Linked DNA regions of Ovis aries. The protein of the gene in region 1 purifies or fractionates together with the protein of each later gene. This does not show direct contact. Links are inferred from orthologs where the notes say so. Each region holds a gene or a part of one and is shown in the gene's direction. Other genes may lie near its edges.

The links. Proteins that work in one complex are often made in the same cells at the same time.
Region 2: the proteins of RAB4A (region 1) and GDI1 purify together in Homo sapiens (co-immunoprecipitation; 4 studies listed by BioGRID and IntAct, counting the BioPlex papers as one, with this or other methods). This does not show direct contact. The link is inferred for Ovis aries from reciprocal best matches to the Homo sapiens genes RAB4A and GDI1.

The regions. Positions count from the first base shown.
Region 1 is NC_056078.1:775,595-782,758, forward strand, and holds the start of RAB4A (ras-related protein Rab-4A), read left to right. Parts: upstream 1-2,746; coding exon 2,747-2,777; intron 2,778-7,164. UniProt on the Homo sapiens protein: The small GTPases Rab are key regulators of intracellular membrane trafficking, from the formation of transport vesicles to their fusion with membranes.
Region 2 is NC_056080.1:79,999,279-80,006,442, reverse strand, and holds the start of GDI1 (rab GDP dissociation inhibitor alpha), read left to right. Parts: upstream 1-2,458; coding exon 2,459-2,503; intron 2,504-3,575; coding exon 3,576-3,683; intron 3,684-3,851; coding exon 3,852-3,951; intron 3,952-4,099; coding exon 4,100-4,234; intron 4,235-4,681; coding exon 4,682-4,880; intron 4,881-5,145; coding exon 5,146-5,277; intron 5,278-5,823; coding exon 5,824-5,923; intron 5,924-6,276; coding exon 6,277-6,448; intron 6,449-6,759; coding exon 6,760-6,904; intron 6,905-7,045; coding exon 7,046-7,100; coding exon of another isoform or gene 7,101-7,164. Other genes in the region: ATP6AP1 (V-type proton ATPase subunit S1), read left to right, coding at 246-293, 381-612, 837-1,046. UniProt on the Homo sapiens protein: Regulates the GDP/GTP exchange reaction of most Rab proteins by inhibiting the dissociation of GDP from them, and the subsequent binding of GTP to them. Promotes the dissociation of GDP-bound Rab proteins from the membrane and inhibits their activation.

The DNA.
Region 1 (7,164 bases):
GTCTATTGTCATCCTGCTTATTTAACTTATATGCAGAGTACATCATGAGAAACACTGGGCTGGAAGAAGCACAAGCTGGAATCAAGACTACTGGGAGAGATATCAATAACCTCAGATGTGCAGATGATACCACCCTTATGGCAGAAAGTGAAGAGGAACTAAAAAGTCTCTTGATGAAAGTGAAAGAGGAGAGTGAAAAAGTTGGCTTAAAGTTCAACATGCAGAAAACTAAGATCATGGCATCCGGTCCCATCACTTCATGGCAAATAGATGGGGAAACAGTGTCAGATTTTATTTTGGGGGGCTTCAAAATCACTGCAGATGGTGATTGCAGCAATGAAATTAAGATGCTTACTCCTTGGAAGCAAAGTTATGACCAAGCTAGATAGCATATTCAAAAGCAGAGACATTACTTTGCCAGCAAAGATCCAACTACTCAAGGCTATGGTTTTTCCAGTAGTCATGTATAGATAGATGTGAGAACTGGACTATGAGGAAAGCTGAGCGCCAAAGAACTGATGCTTTTGAACTGTGGTATTGGAGAAGACTCTTGAGAGTCCCTTGGACTGCAAGGAGATCCAACCAGTCCATTCTGAAGGAGATCAGCCCTGGGATTTCTTTGGAAGGACTAATGCTAAAGCTGAAACTCCAGTACTTTGGCCACCTCATGCGAAGAGTTGACTCATCTGGAAAAGACTTTGATGCTGGGAGGGATTAGGGGGAGGAGGAGAAGGGAATGACAGAGGATGAGATGGCTGGATGGCATCACTGGCTCAATGGAGGTGAGTTTGAGTGAACTCCGGGAGTTGGTGATGGACAGGGAGGCCTGGCGTGCTGCTACTCATGGGGTCACAAAAAGGCTGACATGACTGAGTGACTGAACTGAACCGAACCACATTCCCCAGCGGATAGGGGTCGTGGGGAGGACTCCTCTGTGATGTAGAAGCAGAGTATCTCTTTCCTAGGAGAATCAGAGAGCGGAACCATGTAGAGCCAGAGAGCCGCTGGGGAGGAGAGGGATGACCGTAGGGAAGGACCGATGCCAGTTTGGAGGACAGACTCAAATGGACTTGAATAAAATGTATTTTCTGGCATTACCCTCACCATCCAAGTCACTTGGGAGCTTAGCCAGGGCATACCTTCAGTATTCTACTGTGTGTTTTGAACAAGGTTGAGTCTTATACCATACCACGTGGTCCTTATCATGCTCCAATGGAGCAAAATTCCCCAAAATCTCTTCCTGTTTATCACTACATTGACAACAGAAGGGGATCCTGAATTCAGCTGTGCTCTTTACATCAAAATATTCAACCAACGACTCCTACCCGTAGAAAATGCACCCGCGGCTGAGCGCCGAGAGATGCTTCCTGTCCAAAGCCACATTCCCCTAAAGTGGAGTGCGGAGGGGCGACGACTACAGTTTTCTAGGGACTCTTCGGCACAGGTACATCCTGAGATTTTGTCAGCTTTCCCCAGACGCCAGCTCAGCCCCACCGGCGAGGCCCCCGCGGGTCAGGAGTGAAAGCTCCATCCCCGGCAGGTCAGCCTGCCTCCCAGCCGGCAGCGCTGGCCTCCCGCTGGACACCTGCGGCCGCCGCCGCCTAGTTACACATTCACCCCGACCCGGGTTGATCATTGCAGCTCAGAGGAAGTCCTTCGTTGGCCGAGTGCCCCAGATGACGACGGCCACGTCTTTGCGGAGGCGGCCCACCTGGCAAAGGGCGGCCTGCCTCTCCGAGGCGGGCACTCAGCCTCCTCTGTGCGGGAGCGGACCGTGATGCTCAGCCCCGGACACCCCCAGCCCCTCCCGGTCACCTCCGGGCCTGCGGGCCGCCGACGGCTCCCCACCCCTGCAGCCACCGCAGGGGCCGCCCGCCCCCGCGCGCCCCGCCCCGGCTCCGCTGCGCCCCGCCCCGGCTCCGCTGCGCCCCGCCCCGGCTCCGCTGCGCCCCGCCCCGGCTCCGCTGCGCCCCGCCCCGGCTCCGCTGCGCCCCGCCCCGGCTCCGCTGCGCCCCGCCCCGGCTCCGCTGCGCCCCGCCCCGGCTCCGCTGCGCCCCACGGCCGGCCCCGCCCCAGCCGGCCCGCGCGCGCCCCCCAGCGAGCGCCGGGTCTCCGCCCCTCCCCTCCCCGCCGCCCCGCCCCTCCCCTCCCGGCCGCCCCGCCCCTCCCCTCCCCTCCCCGCCGCCCCTCCCCTCCCCTCCCCGACGCCCCGCCCCTCCCCTCCCCGCCGCCCCTCCCCTCCCCTTCCCTCCCCGCGCGCCCCCAGCGAGCGCCGGGTCCCCGCCCCTCCCCTCCCCGACGCCCCGCCCCTCCCCTCCCCGCCGCCCCTCCCCTCCCCTCCCGGCCGCCTCTCCCCTCCCCTCCCCTCCCGGCCGCCCCTCCCTCCCCTCCCCTCCCGGCCGCCCCTCCCCTCCCCTCCCCGCCGCCCCTCCCCTCCCCTCCCCTCCCGGCCGCCCCTCCCCTCCCCTCCCCACCGCCCCTCCCCTCCCCTCCCGGCCGCCCCTCCCCTCCCCTCCCCTCCGCGCCCGGACAGCGGGGCGGGGCCGTGCGCCTGCGCGGAGCCCGCAGTCCGGCGGGGCCGCAGCAGCTGGGGGCCGGCAGTTGCCGCGGGGACCGCGGGCCCCTCCCTCCTCCGCTTCGCTGCCCCTCGCGTTCCCCACCGAGGCGCGGCCGACTCCCCGGCCTCCCTGCCGCCGGCCCGGCGGAGCCGCAGCGGCGCCCCGCGAGAGGCGGAGCCGCTCCCAAGATGTCGCAGACGGCCATGTCCGAGACCTACGGTACGGGGCGGGGGGCGCGGGCCGGGGCCGGGGGCGTGGGGACCGGGATCCCAGTGCTGGGGCGCGGCCGCCCGAGGGTAGCCCGGCTATGTGATCTGCTTCTCCGAGGGTCTGCCTGCTGCTTCTCCGCGTACTTGCCGGTAGGGTTTCCGTTTCTTGGTCTGATGTTAGTTCAGGGTTTAGGGAAGCCCATTAGAGACTGCGATGCTGTCCCCAGCGAGGGATGTGAAGGACTTGGGACGACGCCTGCAGTTGAGTGTGTTCTTCGACTCTTCCACTTTGACCTTTCCTTGCTTGAAATTCCTTCCTTTGCACGCAAATTACAAGGACTTATGGACAGGCATTTCTTCCTTCCGAGACCTTTCAAGCTGTATGGTGGCTGTTTATAAATGTATCTTTGCAAGACTATAAACACCTCGGAAGCAGAGCCTGTTCTGCTTGATCTTTGCTTCTTCTGTAGCACTCACACCCGAAGGCAGCCAGCAGACATTTTTTTTTTTAAATAAACGAAAGCCTTCCCAATTCATAATCTGTGTGTTTTTGTCCTGCGTGGTAAAAATAAACAATAGAGTACATCTCTGCTTTGTATCAAGGTTTACTAGTGTTTACCAGTCTGGAGTCACTCTGAGATTGGGCATTCTCAGATTAAGTCTGATTTTGATTTTACAGCCCCAGGGAGGGGCTCGAGTTCAAAAACATTACCTCTAGTCAAATTCGTCATGTCTTCTTCCGTGTGCCCTGGCGTGCTGCCCCTTTCTGTCAGCAGATAGGTGTGGACCGGCTTTACGGGCTGGTGTGGTTTCCAACAGTGCAAGGTACCCTCCTGCACTGTTCTGGTCTTGGCAAGCTAGTCCATTGGGGGATACAGTGTTAATCCACTTATGATACTAGTGAATATTAAAAAAAAAAAAAACCCAGGCTGGAGTTCTGAAGGAATATGGTCTCTGAAGGTATGTTAAAAAGAAATGTGACTCAGACCTGAGGCACGGAGGCATTAACTGGTCTACAAGTGCCCAGGCCCTGAGGGATCCAGGATGCCTGTAAGAGGACTGTGGCTGAGGCCCCTCAAGCACCCAGGCATTTGCTCCACCTTCAGCCACTCCTGTGCCTGGTACCTGCCTTGTTCTTGGTAACACTGGGAGCAAGACAGCTATTCCTAGAAGGTTTAGGGAGTCGGAAACCACACCCCTGGCTTGTAAGGATCAGTGTTGTCAGAGCTTCTAATGTTACTGTACTTGCCACATCCACGTGGTCTGCCTCTCTATAGAGAACCATAGTCAGATTTCCTAAAAAAAAAAAAAAAAAATCCATTTCTCCAGCAAGTGTTGGTTATGCTTTTGCTTTTTCTTTATTTTTCAAGTGCTCCTTTCCCCACGCTTTTTTTTCCCTCTCTGACCTGGAGAAGGAGCACATGGGAGCAGTGGAAAGTCCAAGTAAGAAACCAAGTGGGGTTACGAGTTAGGAGGAGGACTGAAAGATGGAGCTTTTATGTTTCATCTGTCTCATGTGAAACATGCATGCTAAATTGCTTCAGTCGTGTCTGACTCTTTGTGACCCAATGGACTGTAGCCTGCCAGGCTCCTCTGTCCATGGGATTCTTGAGGCAAGAATTTTGGAGTGGATTGCCATTTCCTCTGAAGTGGAGACACCATATTTTGTATGAAATGATAACCTTGATAAAAGATGGTGTCTCCATTTCAGACAGAGCTCATCGAGCATCACAGGTCAACTGATCAAATTCTGTTCATCAGGCTTTGACCTTTATTCCTCTTCTTTCATGGTGGCTTCCAAATATGTTTTTAGTTTTTACTAATTGTAGTCCTTCCCTCTAATAGAAGAAATTAAGTGAAACACATAGAAATTTAGTTTTAGCAAGAGCAGTGTGGCACTTCACAGTGCTAACCCAAAATAAAAGTCACCCCAAACCAAGCAATCACCTTCACTTATCATTGGTAGATTTGCATAGCATTGTTTCCCAGATGGAAAACAGTTTCCCTCCTTTCAGACGTTTGCCTGTTAGGTAGATGGTAAAGGAATGTTTTCCTAATCTTTAAACTCCTTAGTACTCTGTGCTCACTTTCTCTCTTCTGGAAAAGGAATCTCTGTAGTTGGCCAGGGATATGATGAAAAACGAAGAACTATTGCTTACCAGTATACTGTTAATGAGTACACGTTCATGAGCTGTGTCCGCATGCCTTTTAGCTTCTTAAGGCAGTGTTTCACCTTCCAGTGACTGGTGTTCAACATTTTGCTGCTCCAGAAACACCAACCACATGAATACCATACCTTATGTAATACTTTATGTAATATTGCAATACAACATTGAAATCTCAAACATACCGGTTTCTGACTGAAAGCTCCGGCTGATTATCCCTAAACAGTGCTTCACAAATACCGTTAAATTCACAGCATTCTTAAAGGCCTGGCCAGTTGATGTGGCTTGGGACTTCCCAAGGAGATCGATTGGCTGATCACAGATTGGCTTTAGGTGATTTCTGATACCAAGATTTGTGAGACAAAAACTCACAAATCAAATATTAATATCAAGCAGTGATGTTCAGAAAGGAGCTAAAAAGTATAAGTGGTATAGAAGATGCTAGAAATTAAAAAAAAAAAAAAAGATTTAAGGGCTGGGGCAGTTTGAGAATGAGGAAAAAAATCTAAGCCAAATCTCTATACACACTGTAATTTATGCATTCTACCATGACAATTTATGAAGCAAGAACACAAATTGTTGGTCCTGTACTAGCTTTATTACAATGGACTCTTAATATTTTTATTTTGTGCTTTAGTTCGAAAATATTACAGTATTTACCATATAATTTTGAGAATTATCAGGATATTTTCTTTTTAAAATGTGTGATTGTATGCTGCTGTGGGTTGAATTGTATCCCCCAAAAGGTATGTTCAGGTCCTAAGCGCAGGCACCCTGTGACTGTGACCTTGTTTGGAAACAGGGTCTTTACAGGTGTAATTAGGTTCAGATGAGGTCATGTCGGGTTAGGGTGAGCTCTCATGCATTGGAGTTCTTGTAAGATGAGAGGAATTTGGATGTGGACTCACGCAGGAAGGAATGTGGTTTGAAGAACTACAAGCCCAGGACCGCCAAGAGTGGCCAGCAGCCACCAGAAGCTAGGAAGAGGCAAGGAGGGAGCCCTTCCCTGGAGTCCTCAGAGAGGCTGACGGGCAACTTGACTTTGGACTTCTAGCCTAAAACTATGAAGACTACGAAATAAGCGATCCAGTTTGTGGTATTTTGTTATAGCAGCCACAGGAAATCGATACATAATAGTCAAAATATGATTCAAGGAGAAATTTAGTCTTGATAAGGCAAAGTGGAGTAAGCAGAATATTCTAGGCACAGGACATATGTCTTCAAATTCACCTTGGTTCCAGTGAAGTATGAGATAACTTGCTGTTAGGGAGATCACTTAATTGCCATTACTGTATTTTGTTAGGGCATATAAAAAATGTCAACAGAGGAAGCATGTGACCTCAGAATAAAGGACATTTCCCTAAAGTGGATGAATTTGTCATTTTAAGTGTTTGTATTTTTGTCACCATGGAAAATTGGTGAACAAAGACCAGAATTTGGGGAACACTGCCGCTGTGGTTCTCAACTGCACGTGCCACAGCCCACTGGTGTGTTTAAGATGCAAATTCTGGTTTTGCATATTCACTTCTGCACCTGCCCAGCTCCCTGGCCATGCAGGTGCTGTTGGTCTAAAGACCACAATTGCATTATCAAGGCGCTATGTGTGGTGCCTCCAGGCCATGGAATTTTGAAAACATTGGTCTTTGAGAAATCAAAAGTTTATGAGAATTTTTCATGGTCATTTGAACTGCGAGGCACTCCAGTCTTTGCCTGTTACTTGCCTTTCTCTGAAGTCTCCTAAATATTTCTAGCCACATCAGTCCTTCAAGCTAAATACCTTTGTTTTCAACTTCCTACCTACTTCTTCCATGTGGATGGGCTAGGGGTAGCCTGGCCTACGTCCCAAATCCAGCTGATTACTCATTGCTATTCCGCAGACTCTTGTTTTCCCCATTTGCCTAGGAGGTAATCTTTGCTCTGAATGTCTTTTGGAATAAGAAGGAAGCTGGAGTTTCTTTGTTTTTTTTCCTTTTCTCTTAAACCATCCTCTAGAAATTGCTCAGACTGATGTAATAGATTTTTTTTTTCCCACTTCTAATAACTATTAGAATACTCGCCAGGGAAAATAGTTTGAGGGAAAACCTTTGATTCCTATGCATCCTGTAACACTTGTCTTTGGATGTCACAGCTTTCCCTGCCAGTCTCATCTTGGTAATAGCTGAGTTCTGTGTGTCTGATGAATACTTTTGCTTCCCTTTAGCTGTGAATCAAAACCTGAAGTGATGTGCAGGG
Region 2 (7,164 bases), on another chromosome or scaffold:
CTGGGGGTTCAGGGAACCCAGAGGAAGGAGCCCTTTGCTGGAGGTGGGGTACCTGTGTGCTACCTGGTTCCTGACTTGGAAAGGGATGGGGCCTCAGGTCTCCTATCTGTCAAGCTAGGGTGCTGGTTCTTTAGGTGGCTCTGCAGGAGGATCTGGTACAGCTCAGGTAGAAGGAGACCTAAGGGCCTTGCTCGGAAATGTTTTCAAGGCCATTCCAGAGTCTGAAAACCCCTCTTCCTCCGCAGGCTGGTGCTGACCTATGACTCACTCTTTGGGACCATGGTGACGTTCAAGTGAGTCTGAGAGGCAGGGGTGGGTGGGCTGCTGTGGCTCCAGCCTTTCCAGCTGCCTGACCTCCCTCCGCGATGCTCCCCCCCCAGGTTCACTCTGGCTAACCGCTTCTACCGGGTATCTGCCCGGTACTGGTTTACCTTGGAGAACCTGGAAATCCATAGCAACGGTTCCGTCGCCTACTTCAATGCCTCCCAGGTCACGGGGCCCAGCATTTATTCCTTCCACTGCGAGCATGTCAGCAGTGAAAATGAGGATGGCAACCTCCTTGTGCCTGACACACAGCCCTCTCTTTGGCAGATGACTTTTCGGGACTTCCAGGTAGGAAGGGAGGAGGGACTGTGCCTGATAGTGGGGAAGCCGTGGCTGGAGGAGGGGTTCGAGGGGAGCAGAGGCCTGCGAAGGGTCTCTGGGTCCTTTCAGGTTTGGGCCTGGGAGTGTAGGGGAGTCCCGTACCCTTGCTGCTCTCTTCCCACCAGCTGGGGAACCCCCAGCCCTTACTGGGCTTCTCTGGGTGGGGCCACTCAGTGCTTTCTGTCCCTCAGATCCAGGCCTTCAATGTGACAGGCGAGCAGTTCTCCTATGCTAGCGACTGTGCAGGCTTCTTCTCCCCGGGTATCTGGATGGGGTTGCTCACCTCCTTGTTCATGCTGTTCATCTTCACCTATGGTCTGCACATGATCCTCAGCCTCAAGACAATGGACCGCTTCGACGACCACAAGGGCCCCACCATCACTTTGACCCAGATCGTGTGATTCCACACCTGTAGGGGCGGGGGATGGGGGGGGGGATTGAGGGCGTGCCTGAGGTCCAGGTTGTCACCTTCCCATCAGAGGCCCACTGGGCAGGAAGGCTTCTCCCTCTTCCGCCATTGCACGACTCCCTGGCTCCCCCTAGCTTGTCAGGCTACCTGTTCAGCCTGCTGAGGGTCTTCCCTAGGCTGCCCACTCCCCACCACATCTCTCTCCACAAGGTGTATATATTTCTGCATAGACAGTAGACAGATCTCCCAGGCTTGATCATTATAAAGGTAGGGGCCATCAGTTCTACAAAATCCACCCCCCTTCTCCTTATTTATTCTGATTTCTCCACCTTCGCTGCTTGCTGTTGATAGTGCTTTTGTGTAGCCAGTCCTCTCTTCCCAGGCTCTATGGGGTTCCTTGTAGCAGCCAGGAGCTGTTCCATTCCCTGAGTTTGGGGGGGAGTGTGGAAGTACTATTTGTCTGTCCCGCTTAGCTGGCGTTATTATTTTATTTTTTGGTGATGTGCTAACAATAAGACGTACACTGGGGTTTATTCCTTTGGCCTAAGAAGGAAGGGATCTACATGGCAGGTGGGATGGGTGTGATCACGGGGTTTGGGACCTGTTCCTGTCGGGAGTACCTGGCAGGAGCCCTGGGGTGCTCGTGGTTTCCTTCCGAATAAAATAAAGACGGGTCGCCATGCTTGGGCTTCTTGTCACTCATTTCTGCGCTGGGCACAAGGAAGGGAGGATGCACTTGGCTGACGGCCGAGAGAGGAGGCCCGAGGATGGAGGGATGGAGGCTGCTTTTCCAGGGACCAAGCGGAGGCCGAGAGGGTTGTTTGCTAGCTGGGTTTCCCCCGGCCCCCGCCTCAGCGACTAGGGGAGGGCGGGGGCCGTCAGCGCCCGGGAGAGGGAGGCGGGGGAGACGGCCACGACAATAGTCGCCCCCACGTCCCTAGGGGCCCGCCTCGGGCTGCTGCAGCAGCGCGCGCCCAGCCGGCGGGGCCGCGCCGAGCTTCCCGGGGCGGGGCGCGCGCGGCTCCTGCGCACGGATCCCTGGCGGACCTCAGCACCGTCTGCCAGGCCGCGCCGCCCCGCCCCGCCCCGCCCCGCCCCGCCCCGCCCCGCCTCACCGCCCTCTTTTCTAGGCCCTCGGCAAAGCGGCGCGGCCCGCCGAGTGGCGCGAGTGCTAGAGCCCGGGCTCCAGCAACCCTCCCCGGGAGGCAAGCGGGGACAGCAGGGGCCCCCGGTCGGCGCGGCGGCGGAGGGGAGGGGCCGGGACTCTTTGACGTGGCGGAGGGGTTGAGCGGCACGGTTGAGCCGCCATCTTTGGTCCACTGCGGCGGCGGCGGCGGCTGCGGCGGCGGCGGCGGCTGTGGCGGAGGAGGAGGAGCCGACGGGCGCTGACACCGAGGCCTGACCATGGACGAGGAATACGATGTGATCGTGCTGGGAACCGGACTCACCGTAAGTGCGGCCGCCGGTGTCCAGGGCGCCGCCTGTCCTCCTCCCTGGGATGCTGCAGCCCCCGGCCCCATCCTCCCATCAGTGCCTGCGCGGCGCTGTTCGGTCCCCGAAAAGATAGCCCCGTCCCCAACCACCGTGACGCGGCCTCCATCCCTGTCATGGCCGGTCTGCCAAGAAGCGGCCCCTTTTCTGGCTGTCTCTCTTGACCGATTCCCCGGGCCCGACCCCCAGCCCCTACCCAGGACCAACTTAACATCCCTTCTCATTTTGCGCTCATTCTGACGGGGATGTCGTGGTACAGGGACCTCCAGTCAGATCGGGGCGGGGGGACTTCCCAGGGTGGGCTTTCATCCTGCCTTCCCAGGTTCTTAGGGGGCCCGAGGACCCAGGGAATGTTCCAGAAGGAGCCGTGGTGGGGACCGTGACCACATTCCCACTACCCCACCCCGGTTTCCCATGGAGACCTCGGGGCTGAGGCGCATTTGCAGCCTTTGTCCTTGGGCTGGTGACAGTGACTGGTGAGGTTGTTTGCCCTCCCCCGAACCCTGTTGGACTGCTGCCCTGAGAGATGCCTCCCCAACAGTCGGGTGTGGAAGCCCCTACTGTGACGGGGAAAGCTCAGGGTCAGGGGTTCCTCTTTGAGGAAAGTGGCCCAGGGTGGGGCCTGGGATTTCGGCACCATGCTAAGCCTTTACTTCCTTTTCGGGTCCTTTGCTTGTCCAGCTAGGCGATCCCTGTGTTTTATTTGCCTTTTTGTGGGCTTCTACGTCGATAGATGATTTTCTTGGCATCTTGGTTGCTTGAAGACCATCCATGTGTCTGCTGGATACCCTCTTCCTTGTTCACCTTTTTGCCCAGCAAGGTTTTAAAAGGAAACCATGGTCAAATGAAGGTGTCCCCCCCCCCCCCCAATTTCAGGCAGAGCGACCAGCCACAGGTGCAAGGAGCTGTGTGTTGAGGCAGAGGCCCTTCAGGTTGACTCTCCCCTCAGGGTTGGAGTGGGGAACATGGTCAGGGCTGCTTGTGGGAATGTGGGCAGATGGGAGTGCAGTGAACATTGCCCCTCACTCAGGAATGTATCCTGTCGGGTATCATGTCTGTGAACGGGAAGAAGGTGCTGCACATGGACCGGAACCCCTACTATGGGGGTGAGAGCTCCTCCATCACCCCCCTGGAGGAGGTAGGCTGCTCTGGGCCCAGGCCTGTCCCTCGTTAACCTCTTGCATGGGGTGCTGAATGAAGCAGCTCCCCAGGTTTTCTGGGTGGGGGGCGGGGGCAGGGGCGGGAGTGGGAGGGGGTTCCTTGAGATGCATCTTTCTGTCTCTCTTTTCCCTTCTGCTGCCTGCAGCTGTATAAGCGTTTTCAGTTGCTGGAGGGGCCCCCTGAGACAATGGGCCGGGGCCGAGACTGGAACGTTGACTTGATCCCCAAATTCCTCATGGCCAATGGTGAGGGAGACGGAGGAGGTATTGTGGGAGGCGGGGTGATTGGGACGAGCAGAGAAGGGTCAGACTGCAGACCAGGGACAGACAGACCAGCTTGAGCTTGTGAAGGGAGCCATGCTGACTGTGTTGCCTTTCCCACACCGCCCTGCAGGGCAGCTTGTGAAGATGCTACTGTATACAGAGGTGACACGCTACCTGGACTTCAAGGTGGTGGAGGGCAGCTTTGTCTACAAGGGGGGCAAGATCTACAAAGTACCATCTACCGAGACTGAAGCCTTGGCTTCCAGTGAGTGTGGGTCCCATGAGCCAGGGAATCGGGGTGGGGGAAGGGGGGATAGCTATCAAGAGCAGGATGGCCCTTGCTGCAGGCCATGTTTCTTGTGCAGTACCAAAAGCCCCTTGCTCTATCATCCCCCTGTGTGCACCCACTGGTTGCCAGGAGAGGTGTCCAAGTGCGAAGGGAATATGGTGTCCTGGACAGAGGCTTCACCTGATCAGTGAAACATCCCCAAGTGTCAGAGCTGGGAATGCTCTCAGAGGCTGTCCAGCCAGACTCACTCTTGGTACAGTTGAGAAAACAGGCCAATGAGCACAGAGGGGTTAATTGAAAATCACACAGTGGTCAGCAAGAGAACTCTGCTGGGAGTTAGGGCACCGGCTTGCTCTGCCTGCCTGGCAGGTGGAGAGGGTCACGGCCCGTACCTCAGTGGTGCTTTGCATGTGGCCCTCACAGACCTGATGGGCATGTTTGAGAAACGGCGCTTCCGCAAGTTCCTGGTGTTCGTGGCAAACTTTGATGAGAACGACCCCAAGACCTTTGAGGGTGTCGACCCCCAGAACACCAGCATGCGTGACGTCTACCGGAAGTTCGACTTGGGGCAGGATGTCATTGACTTCACTGGCCATGCCCTAGCGCTCTACCGCACTGATGAGTGAGGGGAAACTGGCATGGCAGATGACCCTTCAGCCGGCCCACACCCTGCCCTCCCACTCCTGCCTGCTGCTCCCTTGGCTCACCCTGCCTACCTCCCATACTCAGCTCCGGGCTCACTCACCTGTCGCCTTTTCTGTCCCTTCCTTGTGTTTGACCAATGGTCTTTCCCAGGCCTGCAAGGGTGGGAAGGCTGGCCTGATGCCAGGGTGGGGGTGCACTGGGCCTTCTGCTCTTGGAGCCTCTTCTGACCCTATTTCTCCCAGCTACCTGGACCAGCCATGTCTCGAGACCATCAACCGCATCAAGTTGTACAGCGAATCCCTGGCTCGGTATGGAAAGAGCCCGTATCTGTACCCACTCTATGGCCTTGGCGAGCTGCCCCAAGGCTTTGCAAGGTGAGGGCGTGGCTTCTGTCGATTGGCAGTGGAGAAGGCTGAGGCCCACAATGGAAAGGGCCCCCTTGGGCATCTCCACTGTGTTTTGTTACTTTCTCACTGTGGGCTTAGTTTACTTCCCACCATCCTCGGGTGATAGCAGCCTAGTGGGGCATTGTAGTGCGGAGATGAAGGATCACAGATAGGGCTCGCTTGGCTCCTGGCTGGAGTCAGATGGCACGAGGACTGGGCCTGTGGCCTTGAAACCTCCGGTCAGATTCATCAGAGCCATTCATTCTGTTCCCTGGGATGTTTCCCTGAGGAGCTGCCCTCATACTAGCCCTTAGCTGGAAATTTCTGGCAGTAAGTCTAGAGAGGAGGGACCCCTCCAGGTTCAGTCTTGAGGTCCTGGCAGCAACAAAGCTTGGAAGAGCCCCCAGGTCTCCTGAGCTCTGCCTGCCTGAGGCCACCTTCTCCATGCCCTGCACTGCTGGGGGCAGGGCGTGTAGTAGTGCTGGTCCCCATGTCTCCCAGGAGGCACTCTCATGGTTCCTCTCCCCACTGTAGATTGAGTGCCATCTATGGGGGGACGTACATGCTGAACAAACCAGTGGACGACATCATCATGGAGAATGGCAAGGTGGTGGGCGTGAAGTCCGAGGGCGAGGTGAGCCTTCCTGCTGCACAGGCACGCTGGGCTGGGCTGGGCTCAGCCCATCCTTTGAGACACTCTTCCTGGTCACCCTAGCTCTGCTGGGGCTCCTACAGCTTGGCCGGGCGCCTCAGCCCCGGGGACCGGGGCTCCAGAGGAAGACGGTAGTCACTGCTGTCAGCAGACAGCTGTGGATGAGGGCCCACCTTCCCGAGGTGCGGGAGGAGAATGTACGCTGTGGGAGGGGTGATGGTGACAGCTCTGGGGAGTGGCCCGTCTACCAGAGCTGCCAGCCCTCCTTGGGCGTCCTGGCCTTCAGACATCGAGGGGGGGTCGGATAGGGCCAACGCCTTCTGGTGCTTTCACAGGTGGCCCGCTGCAAGCAGCTGATCTGTGACCCCAGCTATGTTCCTGACCGTGTGCGGAAGGCCGGCCAGGTTATCCGTATCATCTGCATCCTCAGCCATCCAATCAAGAACACCAACGATGCCAACTCCTGCCAAATCATCATCCCCCAGAACCAGGTCAACAGGAAGTCAGGTAGGCCAAGCCCCACACAACTTCCTCCAGTGTGTTCTCTTCTTTGGGGTAGCCCTGTCTCGCTGCCCCTCCCCGCCCCCTGCCCAGCGCGGGGGCTGGCTCTCTGCTCGATCCCTCCATGGAAGAGCAGGGATCCACATCACGGTCCCCATGCCTTGAGGCCCTAGGGAGGGATGCTTCCTTTCCACGAGGGCGGCTTCTGGGATGTGGCCAGCTCTGCAGGGCTGGGGAGGGGCAGGAGGGCCTGTGTTGAGCTTGGCCCCCAGAAGCCCCCCACGTGCCCCTGCTAATGGAGCTTTTCTTGTGGGCAGACATCTACGTGTGCATGATCTCCTATGCACACAACGTGGCCGCGCAGGGCAAGTACATTGCCATCGCCAGCACCACAGTGGAGACCACAGATCCCGAAAAGGAGGTTGAGCCGGCCCTGGAGCTGCTGGAGCCCATTGACCAGAAGTGAGGGGCTGGGGGGCTGGGGCTGGAGCTGGGGGGAGGAAGGGAGCCAGGGAGCCAAAGGGCGGACATCAGGGAGGGCAGACATCAGGGAGGGCAAGGCTGATCCTGAGACCTGTTTCAGTCCCTCCCTCTCTCCCTCAGGTTTGTGGCCATCAGTGACTTGTACGAGCCCATCGATGATGGTTCCGAGAGCCAGGTAAGCAGCCTGTCCCGGCCCCGGCTCCTGGCTGCCGGCCCAGGGCCCCTGCCTTGCTCACCTC